5 linked regions of the Macaca mulatta genome follow. The protein of the gene in region 1 interacts with the protein of each later gene in a pairwise test. Links are inferred from orthologs where the notes say so. Each region holds a gene or a part of one and is shown in the gene's direction. Other genes may lie near its edges. The genes, in order: EXOSC5, BIRC2, DMRTB1, TNFAIP1 and FCHO1.

Region 1 (3,515 bases):
TTTTTTTTTTTGAGACGGAGTCTCGCTGTTATTGTCCAGGCTGGAGTGGAATGGTGCCATCTCGGCTCACTGCAACCTCCGCCTCCCCGGTTCCAGCAATTCTGCCTCGGCCTCCCGAGTAGCTGAGATTACAGGCACCCACCACCATGCCCAGCCAATTTTTGTATTTTTAGTAGAGATGGGGTTTCACCATGTTGGCCAGGATGGTCTCAAACTCCTGACCGCAGGTGATCCACCCACCTCAGCCTCCCAAAGTGCTGGGATTACAGCAGACAGTACTAGAAGCCAGGCTATTTATTTCTTCGGTCTTACCTCCTGTACCCCATTTATAGCTTCTGGGGAAATAAGCAGGAATCAGGATTCATTCCAGATATTATTCCTTTCTCAGGTGTCCAGACTGGACTGGTGCAGAATTTGGGGACCAGTGCCTAAGGGAAGAGCTGGGCTGGGGAACCTTTGCAAAGAGAAGTTGAGAGCAGTGACAGTAAGAGGGAGGATGGTTAGCTTTCAGGAAGAACTTCCTGTTAAAAGTTACTAATAGTGGCCGGGCATGGTGGCTCATGTCTGTAATCCCAGCACTTTGGGAGGCCGAGGCGGGCAGATCATGAGGTCAGGAGTTCGAGACCAGCCTAACCAACATGGTGAAACCCAGTCTCTGCTAAAAATAAAAAAATTAACTGGGCATGGTGACTTGAACCTGTAATCCCAGCTACTCAGTAGGCTGAGGCAGGAGAACTGCTTGAACCCGGGAGGCAGAGGTTGCAGTGAGCCGAGATCACGCCACTGCACTCCAGCCTGAGCAACAGAGCGAGACTCCATCTCAAAAAAAAAGAAAGTTACTAATATCAGGGCTAGGCATGGTGGCTCACACCTGTAATCCTAGCACCTTGGGATTACAGTTGCCCAGGAGTTCGCAACCTGCCTGAGCAACATGGCAAAATCCCCTCTTCACTAAAAATACAAAAATTACCCAGGCATGGTGGCACGTGCCTGGAGTTCCAGCTACTTGAGAGGCTGAGGCAGGAGGATCGCTTGAGCCCAGAAGGTTGAGGCTGCAATGAGCTGTGATGGCACCACTGCACTCCAGCCTGGGCAATGAGAGTGAGACCCTGCCTGAATGCCTGAATGGATGAATGGATGAATGTTAATAATATCAGCTAAAGTCTGTTGCGCACTCAGCATGAGCCCCGCAGTGTTCTAAGTGTTCTCTTTGAATTGTGTCCTTTGATCCTCACAAGACGCTAGCGGGGAGCGACTGCTATTTTCCCCATATTACAAATGAGGATACGCAGGCAGAGAAATGAAGTGAGTACTCAAAGAATCACTGCCAACAAATGGCGGGGGTGACATGGGGAGCCCTGGCCATCATGCTCAGTGCCACGAATGGGGCCCCAGGAGCAGGGAAGCTGTGAGTGAGGCCCTCCCGCCCTGCTGTCTCCTCAGGTGACACCTCTGTCCTGGCGGGTGTGTACGGTCCGGCCGAGGTGAAGGTCAGCAAAGAGATCTTCAACAAGGCCACACTCGAAGTGATCCTGAGGCCGAAGATCGGGCTGCCTGGTAATTGGGCCCTGCTGAACCTCTGAATAGTGCCCAGTTTGTCATAACCGGCCCCCAGCTCTTCCCTACCAGCTGCCCCGAGTCTCCACTCCCCGCTTTGGTCCCCACTCAGCTGTTTCTGTCTTTAACTCTCTGCCCTGTATCTCATCTTCTGTTGCTTCTCTCTCTGCCTCTAATTTCTCCCTCCTTCTTTCTCCCTCTCTCTGCCTCCACTCATTCATTCCATTAACCTGTTTTTCTTTTCATTTATTTATTTATTTATTTATTTATTTTGAGATGGTGTCTCACTCTGTCACCCAGGCTGGAGTGCAGTGGCGCGATCTTGGCTAACCGCAACCTCTGCCTCCTGGGTTCAAGCAATTCCCCTGCCTCAACCTCTCGAGTTGAGGTGGGCACGCCACCATGCCCACTAATTTTTTGTATTTTTTTAATAGAGATGGGGTTTCACCATGTTGGCTAGGATGGTCTTGATCTTCTGACCTCGTGATCCGCCCACCTTGGCCTCCCAAAGTGCTGGGATTACAGGCATAAGCCACTGCGCTTAGCCATTTTTTAAAAATTTTAATTTCATATTTTTAAGACGGAGTCTCCCTCTGTTGCCCAGGCTGGAGTGCAGTGGCTTGATCTCGGCTCACTGCAACCTCCGCCTCCCAGGTTCAAGCAATTCTCCTGTCTCAGCCTCCCGAGTAGCTGGAATTACAGGCGTTAGCCGTCACGCCTGGCTAATTTTTGTATTTTTAGTAGAGACAACGTTTCACCATGTTGGTCAGGGTGGTGTCAAACTCCTGACCTCAAGTGATCCACCCGCCTCATCCTCCCAAAGTGTTGGGATTACAGACATGAGCCCCTGTGCCTGGCCCATTAACCTGTTTTTCCACCCTTTTACCCTCATATCCTTCAATCCCCACTGGCTGGGCCTACTAGGGTGGGAGTGGGCGTGGGTAGCAGCATAGACATGGAACTCCCAGGTCTTCTTCCCCTGGATGGTTCCTTTGGTGGATGCTGGAGGTAGCAGGGGTCGGTGGACAGCAGTCAGGCCTTGCCTTCTTCCTACTGGAATCTTCCATCATCCCAGGTACCTGCACCATCCCAGGCTGAGACTGTGGGCCCTTTCCAGGGGTTTGGGTGGGGCGTATGGAGGAAGGTGAGCCACATGAAGGGGAAGACCCTGACAACCGCTCTTCAATTTCCCCAGGTGTTGCAGAGAAGAGCCGGGAGCGGCTGATCAGGAACACGTGCGAGGCGGTGGTCCTGGGCACATTGCACCCCCGCACCTCCATCACTGTGGTGCTGCAGGTTGTCAGCGATGCTGGCTCTGTATCCTTTCTCCCAGGCCTCCTCCTCCAGGAAGTCTCCTGATTGCTTCCCTTCTGGTGGCTATATATATGCTGTCTGCTAGCCAGAAAAACTTCAAACACTTAACAGGTACCAGCTCACTGAAGAAGGAGAGCAAACACCCTGGGTGCTTACTTATGTGGCAGGCACTGTTCTGTGTGCCTTACACACATTAACTCATTTAATATAGCACATGCCCTTAATGATCCCCATGGAAGTGGCAAAGCCAAGACTTAGACCCAGACCGTCTAGTTCTAGAGCCCAAGGACCCTGGCAGATGAGTGTTCTTATGTTCGCATGTTTTAGGTGACAAAACTGAGGCCCAGAGAGGGGAAGGGGCTTGCCCAAGGTCACACAGCTGGAAGGCCGCACAGGCGGGACTCAAGCCCAGGCCCGTCTGACTCCAGAGCCTGTGCCAATCACTTTTGTGTTTTTGGTTTTTTCTTTGTTTGTTTGTTTTTGAGACAGGCTCACTCTGTCGCCCAGGCTGGAGTGCAGTGGTGCAGTGTCAGCTTACTGCAACCTCTGCCTCCCGGGCTCAAGCGATTCCCATGCTTTAGCCTCCTGAGTAGCTGGAGTTACAGGTGCCCGCCATCACAGCAGGCTAATTTTTGTATTTTTAG
Region 2 (3,957 bases), on another chromosome or scaffold:
ATTAAGTGGTTCGCTATTTGGAAGTTTTTAAAATATTTGCCCCTTGGAGTTCCCCAGAGAGAAGCAAGCATTGGATTCAATGGGCAAAGAGCGTCAACTTCAAAAGTCATTCGTTGGCTGTCATAGCACAAACATTTACTGCATGCCACTGTGTCTATGGCACTACTGGGGGAGTATGGCGGAGGGATACAAAAGGTCCATCACTAGTAAAAGCCAAGGGTGTTTGTTTACAAATTTTCTATTACCTAAGCATTAAAAAAAAAAACAACCTTGGGCTTCTCTGTGGTTTATGTACAATTATATGTGCATGTACACCAATACACAGGCGGACGTATATATTTCATTTTATTGAAACATTCAGAAAATACTGGGAGTGAAGCCTGACTTGCAATACCGTTCCCGTTGCTGGCAATGAGCATCTGAAATAATGACACTTTTGTCTTTAGTGCATATGCACTGTTTGTCTCCAGAACAGAAAACCAAAAGTTTAAAAACAAGATAACCTAGTTGATTGTAAAACTCATCGAGTCAAAATTATTCATCAGATGCTTCCTACTTTCCAACGCTTCGCTTTTTTCGATTTGCACAAACAGCTGTTGAACGCTGATGCTACACAAACGGTTACAACTGTTTACTTGAGCAAAAAATGCCATCAGACTGACTCCATCCTCAAAATGCAGTCATCTCGACGGGGGAGGCATCACACTAGGGGAGCCTTGCCAGGGGCCAGATCATAACCCTGAGGTGACACAGGGTAGACGCGCAAAACCACCGGCGCCAGGGCGTTTCCGCAGGGTTTCCCAAGAGTCAAACGCAGCGGCTCACGGTTTGCCACGTCCCCCAGGAGAATGGTAGGCACAGAGAGAGAGGAAACGTGGAGGGGGCACAAACTGCAAGGTGAAGAAAACGAACAAACACCGAGTTGATACGGATAGTCCCCGTTCCCCTAAGGGCCGACCCCGCGACTCCCGATGGGCGTCCAGTTGCGCCGGGGGTCCCTGAGCCTCCCAGCGTCTTTCCCGGCGGTTAGTCGCCCCACGGCCGCAAGTGCGCTCGGTTTCGCTTTCCGGCCCCAGCCTCCCGGGCGCCCTCGCGCGGCTGCCAACGCGAGTCTCCGGCCGGGCGCGCTGACGTCATCGTGCGTCGGCGTGAGCCCGGATGGGGCGGCGGGCTTCGGGAGCGCCGGAGCTGACCCGAGCCGAGGCGGCCGTGTCTCCTTGTCGGTACCGCCGCTTCCCGGCTCTGGGGAGGCCTCTAGGCTGCCGCGCAGCTTCCTTGTTTGCTGCGCCCGCACTGCGGTGAGTGCTGCTCCTTCCGGACTCGGGCGGCGCGGGGAGGGTGGGGACGCGCGGGCCCGCGGGGGCCCACTTCCCTGATGTGGCGGCCGGGCGAGGAAGGAAGGGGCCAGAGGCCCTTCGGCCAAGGGTCGAGGGTCGCCGGGGGCTCTCTGCTTTCTACTCTCGCCAAGGTTTTATTGGATTCGGAAGCCCAAACTTCAAGACTTGCAGTCAAAGCCGTTTTTAAAATATGACTTGTTTTCAAACCTCCTCTGGCCGCCGCCCACTCTTCTGGCCCTTGGACTTTGACCAAGATGTTTTCTCGCAGTTTTTGCAAGGTTTTAAACAGCCCTCGGCGTTCTTTTAATGTAATACATTGAAACGAAGATATTTCGGTGGCGGTGATATTTCATATTTCATAGTTGCCACTGCGCTCTGTCATTCCAGTAGTCTGTTGTGTATTGTGAGAAACAACTCTGGGTAATTATTGGGTAAATCCCATAGTTTCTATTCTTTTCTCTTCCATCCTATCCCCTGTCCAGCTGCAGTTTGCATAAAGAGAATGCTGCAGTACGGTGCTCGCAGATAAAAGTCTTTCGTTTAAAGATAGTATATAAAAAATCGCGTGTAATTAAAGCAATCATGCCAGTGGGCGTCAGGCCACTGTTTCACAGGCCGCTGTGTTAGGTTTTGTTTTCGGTTGTTTTCTACCGTCGTTGCTTTGAAATTGTAAGGGATTGGCAGAGTTTAAGGGTTTATATTAATGAACTCGTGGTACATTTTACTGCAGTTTTCCTAGTCGCGGAGAGACTTGATATTACAAACTAACGTTGCTGTCTGATTACTGCTGTACTGCTGTTGACAGGGTTTAGTGGAGTACCTTGTCGCTCTCTCTGCCTTTTTCACCAATGTTCCTTTGCCTCCAGCAGAGTGCCAAAGATACCTTTAGGTCAGAAAAGGGGAGGAGAGCAAGGACAAAATGTTTTCCTGTGTGAAAATTTCCATCTGTCTCTAAAGTTGTGCTTTTTAAAGACACGTATAGTTAGTGCTATGGGAGTATGTTGCATTTATTTATTTTAATTAAGAGCTTTTTCAGTTAGAAAGTTGTGACAAATTGCTGGAAATTAAGATGTGTTATCTAAAATGTAAATTATTCTTAGACTTTAGTGAATAAATTGAAGAGTATGTAAGTTCTATTTGGCATGCAAATACGGTTTTCTAAAATACCTTTTGTTTTTTCTTTTCAGATTTACAGCCCTGAAGAATCCTCCTCTCCCTTTCCCCTTGCAGTAATAAATCCCATTTTGGAGATCTCGAAGCTTTATAAAGGGATATAGTTTGAATTCTATGGAGTGTAATTTTGTGTATGAATTATATTTTTAAAACATTGAAGAGTTTTCAGAAAGAAGGCTAGTAGAGTTGATTACTGATACGTTATGCTAAGCAGTACTTTTTTGGTAATACAGTATTTTGTTAGGCGTTTCTGATAACACTAGAAAGGACAAGTTGTGTCTTGTGACAAATTGATTAATGTTTACAGCATGACTGATAATTATAGCTGAATAGTCCTTAAATGATGAACAGGTTATTTAGTTTTTAAATGCAGTGTGAAAAGTGTGCTGTGGAAATTTTATGGCTAACTAATTAAGTTTATGGAGAAAATACCTTCAGTTGATCAAGAATAATAAAGTGGTATACAAAGTTAGGAAGAAAGTCAACATGCTGCAGGAAATAGAAACAAATACAAATGATATTTAACAAAGATAGAAGAGTTTATAGTTTGTGAACTTTAAGCCAAATTCATTTGACATCAAACACTATAACAGGCACAGGTTCAACAAAGCTTGTGGGTGTTGACTTCCCCAAAAGTTGTCAGCTGAAGTAATATAGCCCGCTTATGTAAATACTATGGTGATAAGCTGTGTGAACTTAGCCTTTAAATAGTGTGACCATATGAAGATTTTAATTACTTTTGTTTATTGGAATAAAATGAGATTTTTTGGGGACATTATATTAAAGTGCTTATAGGGAAAGAAGCCTGCATGTAATTTTTTACCTTGTGGCATAATCAGTAATTGATCTGTTACCCAGGCTTCATAGCTTGTAACCAAATATAAATAAAAGGAGTAATTTAGGTATTCTGTAGTTGCTTAGAATTTTGAGAATATAAATCTCTGTGAAAAATCAAGGAGTTTCAACATTTTCAAAAGGGCATCCACCTCTCAGGGCTTTAGGTTAGTATTACTCAAGATTATGAACAAATAGCACTTAGATTACTTAAAAGAGTTACTACAACCCCAAAGACTTGTGTTCCAAGTAGTATCTTGGTAATTCAGAGAGAGACTCATCCTACCTGAATATAAACTGAGATAAATCCAGTAAAGAAAGTGTAGTGAATTCTACGTAAGAGTCTATCATTGATTTCTTTTTGTGGTAAAAATCTTATTTTGTGTGAAGAAATTTCATGTGACTGTTTTAGCTATCAAACAGTACTGTCACCTACTCATGCACAAAACTGCCTCCCAAAGACTTTTCCCAGGTCCCTCGTATCAAAACATTAAGAGTATAATGGAAGATAGCACGATCTTGTCAGATTGGACAAACAGCAACAAACAAAAAATGAAGTATGACTTTTCCTGTGAACTCTACAGAATGTCTACATATTCAACTTTCCCCACCG
Region 3 (4,268 bases), on another chromosome or scaffold:
GCCCAGGCTGGAGCGCAGTGGCCGGATCTCAGCTCACTGCAAGTTCCGCTTCCCGGGTTCACGCCATTCTCCTGCTTCAGCCTCCCGAGTAGCTGGGACTACAGGCGCCTGCCACCTCGCCCGGCTAGTTTTTTTGTATTTTTTTAGTAGAGACGGGGTTTCACCGTGTTAGCCAGGATGGTCCCAATCTCCTGACCTCGTGATCAGCCCGTCTCGGCCTCCCAAAGTGCTGGGATTACAGGCTTGAGCCACCGTGCCCGGCCTTAGCCACTTGTTAACTGTAACTCCTCCTTAAATGTGACTGATCTACTTAGAAGCTTTTCGGCTTGTTAGTGACCCATTTTTTCCTTTTTTAGGACAAAGAAGGGAGGAGAGGGGAGGCGAGGAAAATGGAGGCAGTGGGGAGGTAGGGGGAAAAGAGAGAGAGAGAGGCCTCAGGGTGTCACAAATTTGTTTTTAAAAGATGAATTAATGGCTGGGCACGGTGGCTCACACCTGTAATCCCAGCACTTTGGGAGGCCCAGGCAGGTGGATCACCTGAGGTTAGGAGTTCAAGACCAGCCTGGCCAACATGGCGAAAACCCCGTCTCTACTAAAAATACAAAAATTAGCCGGGCATGGTGGCGGGTGACTGTAATCCAAGCTACTCAGGAGGCTGAGGCAGGAGAATCGCTTGAACCTGGGAGGCAGAGGTTGCAGTGGGCCGAGATGACGCCACTGCCCTACAGCCTGGGTGACAGAGTGAGACTCTGTCTCAAAAAACAAAACAAAACAAAACAAAACAAAAAAACCTTAATGTCCTTGGGTAAACTATGACGTTTGTGTTAGCTTTTCAGATGTCCCAATATTTGCGTTGTTTTATAAGGATAACAAAATTCATGATGAGGTTAAGCAATTACTGAAGCTAGTGCTAGACAGTTTTTTAATTTAATTTTTTAGAAACAGGGGTCTTGCAGAATTTGTTTTATTTAATTTTTTAGAAACAGGAGTCTCGCTATGTTGCTCATGTTGGTCTCCAACTTCTGGGCTCAAGTGATCCTCACAAGCAGCTAGGGCTACAGGCACAGGACACTATGCCAGGCTTAGTGCCAGAATATTCTGCCTATTTTACTTTAAAATATTCTAAGTATGCTTACTTTGGAAGGTATGAACATCAGCAATGTGCCATCCTCCAGAAGAGGATTTCTACACAAAGACTCTCAAGAAACGGGAATTACTGCAAGGGCATACCCTTGAGCAACCATCACACTGCACTGAGCTCTTGAAAATATTCTGGAATATCCTGGAAGCATCTCTGCACGGCAGAGAAGTGAAATGCCACAGAAGCAGCAGCTTTAGGGAGGAGAAATACGGTTTGCCTCTTACAGTGCTTTTCTACACTGAAAGCTACATTCCTCCCGAGTTTTAAATCTGTGGACCGTTGAATATCACTCCGCCTTTCCTGAAGTTACAAATACCTTCCGTCGGTGGCGGGAATAGAGTTTGGAAAATTACATGCCTAAGACTTCAGATAAGCTAAATGACATACATGCAATAGAATCCCATTAAGAATTTATGCAACCCAGTCCATTGCATCTAATTACCCAAAGCACAGAAACTCTCCAAACTGTGCACCCCCCAAAAGGAGGGAAAATGCAAGGTTCTTGCTGCAGTTCCCGGGACACACTGCGAGGTGCTTTGTTACAAGTGTATCCAATGTCCCCAGAACCAGGGACTTGTGGGGCGCGGCTCATCCCAGCGCCACTTGCTCTGCAGCTCCCAGAGGTGGTGGTTGTGCTACGAAGGCTGACCCTGCCAATGGCCGACAAGATGGTGCGCACCCCTAAGTGCTCGAGATGCAGGAACCATGGCTTCCTGGTGCCCGTCAAGGGCCACGCAGGCAAATGCCGCTGGAAGCAGTGCCTCTGTGAGAAGTGCTACCTGATCTCCGAGCGCCAGAAGATCATGGCCGCGCAGAAGGTGCTCAAGACGCAGGCCGCCGAGGAGGAGCAGGAGGCGGCCCTGTGTGCGCAGGGTCCAGAGCAGGCCTCCGGGGCCGCGGCCGCCGCGCCCGTTTCCCTCCCGGGCGGGAGCCTGCGCCCTCTGCCTCCGGGGACTCCCTCCGGAGACGCCGAGCCGGGACCCGAGGGCCGCGCGGCCGCCTGCTTCTTCGAGCGGCCCCCGCGGGGCCGGAGTCCCGGCCCGAGCGCCTTCCAACCGGTTCTGGGCGGCCGCGGCCACGTGGAGCCGAGCGAGCGAGCCGCCGTGGCGATGCCCAGCCTTGCGGGACCCCCTTTTGGGGCGGAGGCCACAGGCAGTGGCTACCCCGGCCCCCTGGACCTGCGCAGGCCGCTGCGGCCCGTGCCTGGCCCGCCGTTCACCGACTTTGGTAAGTCGTGGCCTCAGTCCCGCGGTGGACTCCCCGAGCTGGCAGTACAGGCCAGCCCGGATGGGCAGCTGGCATAGGGGTTTTGGGGTGGGGAGAATGCTTTCCACGGGTAACGTACCTTCTGCTTTAAGAAACCCTTCTTGGAACGGGGATTTGGATTGGGTACCTTTTCGCAAAAAGGAAACATAAGGGAATGGGCGGTTCAGAGGGGCTTTTTTTTTTTTTTTTTTTTGAGACGGAGTCTCGCTGTGTCGCCCAGGCTGGAGTGCAGTGGCGCGATCTCGGCTCACTGCAAGCTCCGCCTCCCGGGTTCACGCCATTCTCCTGCCTCAGCCTCCTAATAGGTGGGACTACAGGCGCCCGCCACCACGCCCGGCTAGTTTTTTGTATTTTTAGTAGAGACGGGGTTTCACCATGTTAGCCAGGATGGTCTCGATCTCCTGACCTCGTGATCCACCCGCCTCGGCCTCCCAAACTGCTGGGATTACAGGCTTGAGCCACCGCGCTTGGCTCAAAGGGCTTTTAACATTTAGCTGTAGTTTGTGCCATTCTGGCATGCAAGAACAAAATGGCGTCCAGTCGACTTAGCAGTGCTTCCTCCTCCGGGAAGAGGCCTCGAGGAGCCCAGTCCTACTGCGCTTGCGCACCTCTTCCCGCCATTTCCTTGGGCTGGAGGCTCCTCCTCCAGAATAAGAGAATTTTCCTGCCGGCAGGTTAGCGCAAGGACGACTGCGCCTGCGCCCTCTTCCTTCCCTGTTCGCGGTCGGGAGGCTCCTCCCCTCAGCACGGCCCTGGACCAGTGCGCCTGTGCACCTCTTCCCTCCCTTTCCCCGCGTGCGGGTGAGCCGAGCCTGCTGCTTTACTACACGTAAGAGAACAGTTGGTCTGTAAAGATGTTGCCTTTCTTTTTGCCCCTCACCTGGTACATAAATTACATTGTTCCCTGTGCCTTGGAGCTTTCGGTATTGAAGTACAGTTTCAAGTCACATGTACATTTGAAGCTTTAAAAGCCCCGGGGTTTGGTGTGGACGTGTTTTCCTGGTGTCTCCCCATGGTGGTGTCGTGGGACGGGCTGAGGCCGAGGCGGGAGCCTGGGTCACGCTGGACAAGCTCCTGCCCTCTGTGTGCCAGGGCATTGGTCCAGAGGCTTCCGCAGGCTCGTCCCGCCTTCCTGACTTTCCAGGAAAATCTAGGTCCCCAGGGAACGCCCCATCTGATGGGGTCACAGGTCTGAAACCGCAATTCTAGGAGAAGCCGCCTTTCTTTGTTCCATCTCAACAGACAAGCAGGGCTGGGCTGAACTATGAGCCAGGCATTCGTGATGAAGGACGCGGGTCACATTTCTTACCCTCAGGGACCTTGTCCTTGTGGGAGGGACAGGGTTGATTGAAGAGTCACACAAATCGCTGTCCAGAGCTCGAGCCATGGCCGGGTTCACTGTTGACCCGGAGGAAGAGGAACTTGGCACGGAGGACTCGTAGAGGCAGAGTGTGGGCGGACGGCGTGTGGGCAGCGGGGAGCCTCAGGCCGGGGGCCCACAGCGGGCTTGATGGCCGTGCCGAGGACTCTCCAAGAGCAGCGGGGCTGGCTGGAGGACGGAGATGCAGTGAGGGCCCAGCGGAAGGAAGGGCGGGGTGGGCTTTCTGTGCTTGGACAGCAGCGCTTACGACTCCGCCGGCCTGTGCCACGCTGCGGATGCTTTTCCCAGCGGTGTCTAACACTTCCCTCCTTGCTTGCCTTCTTCAGGGCGCCCTGTGAGCATCAACCCGGACCGTGCACTGGGCCCTGAGTACCCTGGCGGCTCCAGCATGCACCCCTACTGCCCGTTCCCGCTGGGCTACCTGGACGCCCCTCCTGGCGTCCCCCTGCAGCAGGGCTTCCGGCATGTGTCCCGCAGCCA
Region 4 (4,191 bases), on another chromosome or scaffold:
AAGTGAAAGGGAAGCAAGGCATTGCAGGCAGAAGGAAACACATACGTGAAGATCCTGAGGCAACAGGAAATTTGATGCATTCCGAGAACTGAGACTGAGCAAGAGAAGGGAACAGAATGAGGCTAGACAGGGAGGCAACAGCTGGATCACGGAAGGCTCTGAAAGACACAGTAATGAGCTTGGATTTTATCAGAAGGGTAATGGGCAGCCAGAGAGTTCTCAGCAAACCAACAAAATCAGACTTAGATCATTCTTGCTTAGCCTGGAGAACGGATTGGAGGGAACAAGAAAGGGCAAGGCCCCAACTACCTTCTTGTTCACCACTCTAACCCTAGCACCTAGCATGGTGCCCACACATAACTGGCACTCAGTAAATGCGGAATGAATGACCGTGGAAACAGGAGACCATTACAGTAACCAAGGCTGGCAGCTGAAGACAAGTGCTCCGAGTTGAGATGTTTTGTAAGTCGAGGTGATTGGGGCTTAGTAATGGACTGACTGAATGTGGCGGTTTTGGGATAAGAGAAAAACAAGTCAGGCATGACTCCCATGAATCTGGCTTGGCCCACCTATCTGATTGGAGGGGCTGGCTTAAAGAGATAGGTAAGATGGAAGAAGGGGTGCAGGGAAAGAGTTCACAGATTCTCTACCAACTCCCATCACACGCGTGTCTGAGCATCTGAGCAACACCTGGCCCAAGAGCTGGGACTAAGCTCCCTGAGCATGACGCGGTGGCATAATTTGTGTGGCCAGGCTCTCCCAGATGCATGCGAGGCACTGCGAGCAGACTCTTTACTATGTAAATTCCCCGAATTTATCCGAGCCCCAGTTTCCTCGTAAGATCGTGGCAAGCATCAACGCGTCAAACTCCAGGCCTAACCTGGGTGTGAAAGCGCCCCCTGAGAGTGGGGCGGAATTCCCACGTCTCTCTCCGCCCGGGCTCTTTCCTCAGGACGCGGGCCTGTCAGGCTCCTCTCGCCCCTGGTCCGCCCGCATCCCCCGACCCGAGGTCAGCCTACCTGCCGGCCCCGCGGCGGCAGCGCGCTGCAGCCTAGGCTGATGTAGACAGGCAGCTTCTCCCGGGTCAGCGGCAGCCGGTACCCAGTCAGCCTGCCACGGCCGCTGCCACGGCTACAGAACCTGTTTACCCATGACGTCACTACCTTCCTGACCCCGGAAGCACTTACAGCCCCGAATCCACAGAGGTTGCTGGGAAACAGAGGCCCGAGGGGAGGTCGGGCCTACAAGACCCAGAAGCCTTAGCGCCGGCAAGGCGACCGGAAGTGGCTTTCCTCTCTCCGCGAAGACCCTCGGGGGATTCCGCCTCCACCCTTTCCCGGATAGAGCGCTATGCATGCAGGGACTTGTAGTCTCAGGCTCCCCGACCGGTGGGGCTGGGCCGCACTCCGGGCGGAGTCGGCGAGCGCAGGATGTGAGCTCACAGCCCGGGACTGCTGGTGGGCAGGCGGCTGCAGGCTAGGGGCGGCTCGGAGTCCGCTGGCCACCCAGCTGAGAGGAGAGGCGCCCCCGGGGACGGTGAGAGCCGGGCCCGCAGATGCCCTCGGGGAAGGGATGGACGGCCCCTGCTGGAGTATAGCGAGCCCGGCCGGGTCCTGGGGAAAAGGCGCGGGCGGCGTTGGGGAAAAGGAGAGCTCTGATCTCCCACGGAGGGTGGGCGTGAGAATCGGTGTGGGTTTCTCGGTAGTGAGGAGTGGCCCGGGCTAGAGAAGAGCCCACACCGGCCACATTTCCCAGGATTTTTTGGGTGACGCTTAACCTTTACACCTAGGGTTTCTGCTAGATCCGCCCACTCTAGCCCTCAGCTTTCCCCGCGCCGTCCTCCGTGTCTGACGGATTTCTGGGTCCTTCTTCCTTTTAGACCTCTCCTCTTTCTACAGCCGCGGCTGTTTGCCCTTTGTTCTGCTTGGGTTCCCATTAGCTTCGTTGCGTGAGCCATGGATCCGCCCCTAGCCCCAGGCATCCCCAAATATCCACACACAAAGTGCGGAAGGAAGAGCACTGTGGCTATCAGTGGAAACTTCATTCTCACTGGAATTACTTTCTGGGGCGTCACCTGCCACAGGATTCCTGGAACCCATTGGTCTGGGCGGAATCTGATTGACGTCATCCAGGGGCTCAAAGCAATTGCTTTGTAGGAAAGGAATAGATTAACTCTGGATCCGCCGACCTCTCTTGGCAGGCCTATCCTTTGAGCTCCTTTGCATTGACAGAACATGTATGTATGCTTTCTTTGATCCTGGGAAAACTAGGGCTAGACACAAAATACATAGGGAACTTGCTAATGCCTGTTAGGGAGGTGGATTTATTCCTTTGAGGTGGGCGGAAGAAGGGAAGGTGATCTCATACCATTCTAGTGTTTCTTAGTCATTGGCAGCCTCCTGGTGAGGGTTCACCTCCCATACCCAACCTCTGTGGCAAAGGAAAGAGTCTCCCAGACAAGCCGCCAAAGGAATTCACTGCTTCACACAGCACCCACGCTGGCCGTCCACTTCCTTGGACATTCTTCCCAGGGACTTACCTAAATCTTTTCAGGGACAATTTCAATCCAACAAACTGACATATGTTAAATACTTAAAATGTGCATGGCATTGTGCTAAGCACCATTAGGGGAACACAGCAGTAAACTTAGGAAACCAGTGCCCTGCTTCTGGGTTGCACTTACAAGAGAGGAGCAACTGTAAACTCCTGCATGTAATGAGCATTCGGTGAAATCATTCCACTTTTTTTCTGTCTCCGTTATTACTAACGTGGTCCAGGCCCGCCGTCATCTCTTCTTGCCTAGACTACAGTTTCCTCTGGTCTTCCCACTTCCTCTCTTGCACCTTTACAATTCATTCTCTACCCAGCAGCCGTTATCTTTTCAAAATACACTACAAGCAAGTCAGATCATATCACTCCTCTGCTTGCAACTCTCCAATTGATTCATATATTATATAGCAATAGGCCGGGCGCGGTAGCTCACGCCTATAATCCCAGCACTTTGGGAGGCCAAGGCGGGCGGATCATCCGAGGTCGGGAGTTCAAGACCAGTCTGACTAACATGGAGAAACCCCATGTCTACTAAAAATACAAAATTAGCTGGGCATGGTGGTGCATGCGTGTAATCCCAGCTACTCAGGGAGGCTGAGGCAGGAGAATAGCTTGAACCTGGGAGGCGGAGGTTGCAGTGAGCCGAGATCGTGGCACTGCACTCCAGCCTGGGCAACAAGAGTGAAACTCTGTTTCAAAAAAAAAAAAAAAAAATATATATATATATATATATATATATGTAATAGCAATTAGTATGAAATCCACACTTTGTTATCATCTAACACCTGCCTTCCCTGACTTGACATCAAACCAACTTCCCCCTACTGTCTGTGCACCAGCCATTATGACCTTATTTCTGATCCTAAAACTTGTTTTTATTTTGTTGTTGTTGAGACGAGATTTCCCTGTCACCCAGGCTGACCTGCCCAGACTCAAGCAATCATCCCACCTCAGCCTCCCAAGCAGCTGGGACCACAGGCATGAGCCACCATATCTGGCTAATTTTTTTTCATTTGTAGAGACAAACTCTCACTGTTGCCCAGACTGGTCTTGAACTCCTGAGCTCAAGCAATCCACCCACTTCAGCCTCCTAAAGTGCTGGGATTACGGGTGTGAGCCACCACACTCGGCCCCTAAAACTTGTTTCTAACAGGAACTTTGCACTTACTCTTCCATCTGTGTAGAATGCTCTCTTCAAACCTCAGCTGAAATTCACCTTCCCAAAGATGCTTACCCTGTCCCTCTGTCTAAATTAGTGCCTCTCCCTAATCACTCTCATGTCAGTTTTATTATCTTTATTGCATTTATCAGGTTCTGGAATTATCTGTTTATTTATTCAAGTCCTTGTTTATAGTCTATTTCCTTCCACTAGAATGTAAGCTCCATGTGGACATGACTTTCTATATTTGTTCTCTTCTGAGTACCCAGTGCCTGGCACACAGGGGTACAATAAATGCTAGCTCTCTCTCTTTTTAAAAATTCCTGTTATGATGCTCCTTTGAACTGTTTGAAGGCAAAGACAATGTTTTTTCATTGTTCCCTATTGCTTAACATAGTAGGCACTCAGTAGTTTAATTGCTGAATTAGTTAAATGAGCTAATATATATTAAATGCCAAGAGATGGGGTCTTGCTATGTTGCC
Region 5 (3,515 bases), about 34 Mb from region 1:
CAGAGCAAGACTCTGTCTCAGAGAAAAAAAAAAAAAAAAAAGAACAAACCAAAATAAAATTTTAAAAAACTGACATGCTCAGGGAACTGAAAAGTTTTATTTTTGAGTTGTGGAGGTTTCAGTTATAGCTGAATCCAGGTGCTCAAATAGTGCTGGCAGGAAATTGTGCATTTCTGCTTTTTTTTTTTTTTTTTTTTTGAGATGGAGTCTCTCTGTCGCCCAGGCTAGAGTGCAGTGCCACAGTCTCGGCTCGCTGCAACCTCTGCCTCCTGGGCTCAAGTGATTCTCCTGCCTCTGCTTCCCTAGTAGTAGTTGGGATTACAGGCACGTGCCACCACACCCAGCTAATTTTTGTATTTTAGTAGAGACAGGGTTTCACCATGTTGCCCAGACTAGTCTTGAACTCCTGACCTCAGATGATCCGCCTACCTTGGTCTCCCAAAGTGCTGGGATTACAGGCGTAAAACACCACACCCGACCACCATTTCTGCTTCTTAAGTCTATTTTCCTCTCTGGGGACATCACTCCCAGGCAGACGTGCCCGTGTGTGTGTGTGTGTGTATGCATGCACATGTGTGCATCAAAGTGGGCCCCAACAACTCCCACTTACATCCTATCCACTCATTAGTTCAGAAATGGAAGTGTCTTTTTCTGTTGATTCAGAGAAAGTCCTAGGGCAGACTATCATTGGCCCTTCCCCAAATCAATCAGTGAGCCAAGGGCTTAGGGTGTTCTGATTGGTCAGGCTGAGTCACATGGCCACTCCTTCTTGGCCCTGACATTCTTTCCACCTGCCTCTCCCGTCCTGCTTCAGCGCTTCCAAGCCATGGAGGAGACACACCTGAGGCACATGAAGGCGTTGCTGGGCTCCTATGCTCACTCCGTGGAGGACACGCACGTGCAGATCGGGCAGGTGAGTTGGGCAGGTGTGAGGAATGAGGCTGGGGTCACTGTTGGGCAAAGGGGCCTTGACCAGTTTCACACCCCGCCCACCTGGCACAGGTGCATGAGGAATTTAAGCAGAACATCGAGAACGTCAGCGTGGAGATGCTACTCAGGAAGTTTGCAGAGAGTAAGGGCACAGGCCAGGAGAAGCCAGGTGAGTCAGGGCAGCCATCAGGGGTCGGGCTTTAGTGCCACAGCTGCAGGTGATGGGCAGGACTCCAGAGGCAGGAGACTGAACCTCCCTGGGGCTTGGTTTCTTTCTTTCTCTCTCTTTTTTTTTTGAGATGGAGTCTCCCTCTGCCTCTGTCGCCCAGGCTGCAGTGCAGTGGTGCGATCTTGGCTCACTGCAACTGCTGCTTCCGGGTTCAAGCTATTCTCCTGCCTCAGCCTCCCGGAGAAGCTGGGACTACAGGCACGTGCCACCACACCCAGCTAATTTTTTTGTGTGTATTTTTAATAGAGATGAGGGTTCACCATGTTGGCCAGGCTGGTCTTGAACTCTTGACCTCAGGTGATCCCCCCGCCTCGGCCTCCCAAAGTGCTGGAATTACAGGCGTGAGCCACTGCTCATGGCCAGGCCTTGGTTTCTTCGTGGGAAAAATGGGATGCTGACGAGTCCAGCTCTCCAGCTTGATCTTACGGGTAAATCTCTTTGAACCAGATCCCACAGGAGCCTTGAGTGCCAGGCTCAGCTGTTCATACTTCACCCCCAGGGCCTAAGGGAGCCGTTGAGGGTTGTTGAGCAAAAGAACAATTTGCAAATGCTCAGATACAGGACTAGGGAGGAGTTAAGAGCAAAAGTTTTAGAGTCAGACCTGGGCTTGAGTCTTTTCTTCATCACTTGCTGTGTGACTTAGGACCTGTGCTTTGACTTCTCTGAGCCTCAGTTTCCTCATCTGTAAAGTGAGGATGTTAATAATGTTGTAACGTTCAGTGATTTAATTCAGGTAAAGGGCAAAGGGTGTGCCAGGCACACAGTAGGCACTCACTAAATGCTGGTATACAGTTATGTCTTCAAGTCTTGTTAACCAGCAAAACCTGTTCTTTCTCCCTCTTGTCTCTCTGGCTCGGCCCTGGCTCAGGTCACCCCTCCCTGCATGGGGCCCCACTCTTGCCTTTCACAGGCCCCAGATCTGTTGTGTCCTCCTCCTGCTCACACACCTTCCATGGCTCCCCATTGTTCTTGGGAGAGAGTTCCCACGCCTCATCCTGTCACTCAAAGCCCAGCCCACTGCACACATGCATGGTTCATCCCCCAACCCAACCCAAGTTCCAGCCACAAATGCTGGAAGTACGTGGAAGTAGCTCATGTCACCCCCTACAGTGGCACTAACCAGCTGGAACCAGACCAGCCCCTTGATCCATCCCACTCCTGATGATCTGGGGCTGGTTCTTGTCTGGGAACCTGATGGACCTTGAGTTCAGATCCAGGTGCCATTTTGTGGCCAAAAGTGTTCTACTCTTTCGAAGCCCAGTCTCCCCACCCTCAGTTTAGTTTCTCTCTCTCTCTCTCTCTTTTTTTTTTTTTTTTTTTTAATTTTTTTGAGGCAGAGTTTGCTCTGTCACCCAGGCTGGAGTGCAGTGGTGCAATCTCGGCTCACTGCAACCTCCGCCTCCTAGGTTCAAGCGATTCTCCCACCTCAGCCTCCCGAATAGCTGGGATTACAGGCACCTGCCACCAGGTCCGGCTAATTTTTTTGTAATTTTAGCAGAGACAGGGTTTCACCATGTTGGCCAGGCTCGTCTCGAACTCTTGACCTCAGGTGATCCACCCGCCTCAGCCTCCCAAAGTGCTGAGAATACAGGCCCGGGCCACTGTGCCCAGCCCCGCAATTGAGTTTCTGTCTCCCGTCTCAGGACCTCTGGACTTCGAGGCATACAGCGCGGCTGCCCTGCAGGAAGGCAAGTACGTCTGGGCCTGGATGCCCAGGCTGGACCGTGGGGGTGAGGAAGGCTGATATGAACGTGAAAGAAGGCACCTCCCAGTGCTCAGTTGCCCCCCAATCTATCCTCAGCGATGAAACGTTTGCGGGGAGCCAAGACCTTTCGCCTTCCGGGATTAAGCCGGCGGGAGCGGGAGCCAGAGCCACCTGCAGCTGTGTGAGAAAGCGCCCCTGCCCGGTCTGGCCCAGGCTAGCCCGGGATCCCTTCCCCTGCCCAGGCTATCCCGGAAGTCCCCTCCTAGGATAGCCCAGGAGTATCCATATTCCAGGCTGGACCAGGATTCCCTCCACCCAAGCTAGACCAGGAGTGCCTCTGCCCCAGGCTAGCTCAATATTACCGCTGCCCAAGCTAGTCCAGAATTCTTCCTTTTGCCAGGTTAGGCCAAGAACTGCCTGTCGCAGAGTAAGCTAGCATTTCCCCTGTCCGAGCTGGCCCAGGATTGTTCTGTTTGCCAAGGCTAGCCCCGACTTTCCCTACCTTCACAAGGCAGCCCTTCAAATGAGTTCCAGGATTCCTCCCCTCCCAGGCTGTTTGAGAACACTCTCTACTCAGCTAACTTCAGATTCAACCCCCTCCCCAAGCAAGCCTCAGGGTCCCACTGCCTCCAGGGCTAGCTCAGGGCAATA

Evidence for each region.
Region 2: the proteins of EXOSC5 (region 1) and BIRC2 interact in binary tests that used the Homo sapiens proteins (3 or more experiments, as listed by UniProt). The two-hybrid records come from large-scale screens. The link is inferred for Macaca mulatta from reciprocal best matches to the Homo sapiens genes EXOSC5 and BIRC2.
Region 3: the proteins of EXOSC5 (region 1) and DMRTB1 interact in a two-hybrid assay, tested with the Homo sapiens proteins (2 studies listed by BioGRID). The link is inferred for Macaca mulatta from reciprocal best matches to the Homo sapiens genes EXOSC5 and DMRTB1.
Region 4: the proteins of EXOSC5 (region 1) and TNFAIP1 interact in binary tests that used the Homo sapiens proteins (3 or more experiments, as listed by UniProt). The two-hybrid records come from large-scale screens. The link is inferred for Macaca mulatta from reciprocal best matches to the Homo sapiens genes EXOSC5 and TNFAIP1.
Region 5: the proteins of EXOSC5 (region 1) and FCHO1 interact in binary tests that used the Homo sapiens proteins (3 or more experiments, as listed by UniProt). The two-hybrid records come from large-scale screens. The link is inferred for Macaca mulatta from reciprocal best matches to the Homo sapiens genes EXOSC5 and FCHO1.

Annotation. Positions count from the first base shown.
Region 1 is NC_133424.1:52,537,454-52,540,968, reverse strand, and holds part of EXOSC5 (exosome complex component RRP46), read left to right. Parts: intron 1-1,443; coding exon 1,444-1,557; intron 1,558-2,752; coding exon 2,753-2,874; intron 2,875-3,515. UniProt on the Homo sapiens protein: Non-catalytic component of the RNA exosome complex which has 3'->5' exoribonuclease activity and participates in a multitude of cellular RNA processing and degradation events.
Region 2 is NC_133419.1:103,217,474-103,221,430, forward strand, and holds the start of BIRC2 (baculoviral IAP repeat-containing protein 2), read left to right. Parts: upstream 1-1,152; 5' UTR 1,153-1,298; intron 1,299-1,315; exon of another isoform or gene 1,316-1,757; intron 1,758-2,524; 5' UTR 2,525-3,782; coding exon 3,783-3,957. UniProt on the Homo sapiens protein: Multi-functional protein which regulates not only caspases and apoptosis, but also modulates inflammatory signaling and immunity, mitogenic kinase signaling, and cell proliferation, as well as cell invasion and metastasis.
Region 3 is NC_133406.1:187,154,541-187,158,808, reverse strand, and holds the start of DMRTB1 (doublesex- and mab-3-related transcription factor B1), read left to right. Parts: upstream 1-1,459; 5' UTR 1,460-1,554; coding exon 1,555-2,368; intron 2,369-4,114; coding exon 4,115-4,268.
Region 4 is NC_133421.1:37,030,487-37,034,677, forward strand, and holds the start of TNFAIP1 (BTB/POZ domain-containing adapter for CUL3-mediated RhoA degradation protein 2), read left to right. Parts: upstream 1-1,391; 5' UTR 1,392-1,536; intron 1,537-4,191. UniProt on the Homo sapiens protein: Substrate-specific adapter of a BCR (BTB-CUL3-RBX1) E3 ubiquitin-protein ligase complex involved in regulation of cytoskeleton structure.
Region 5 is NC_133424.1:18,278,246-18,281,760, forward strand, and holds part of FCHO1 (F-BAR domain only protein 1), read left to right. Parts: intron 1-814; coding exon 815-913; intron 914-1,002; coding exon 1,003-1,099; intron 1,100-2,802; coding exon 2,803-2,847; coding exon of another isoform or gene 2,848-2,851; intron 2,852-2,960; coding exon 2,961-3,045; intron 3,046-3,515. UniProt on the Homo sapiens protein: Functions in an early step of clathrin-mediated endocytosis. Has both a membrane binding/bending activity and the ability to recruit proteins essential to the formation of functional clathrin-coated pits.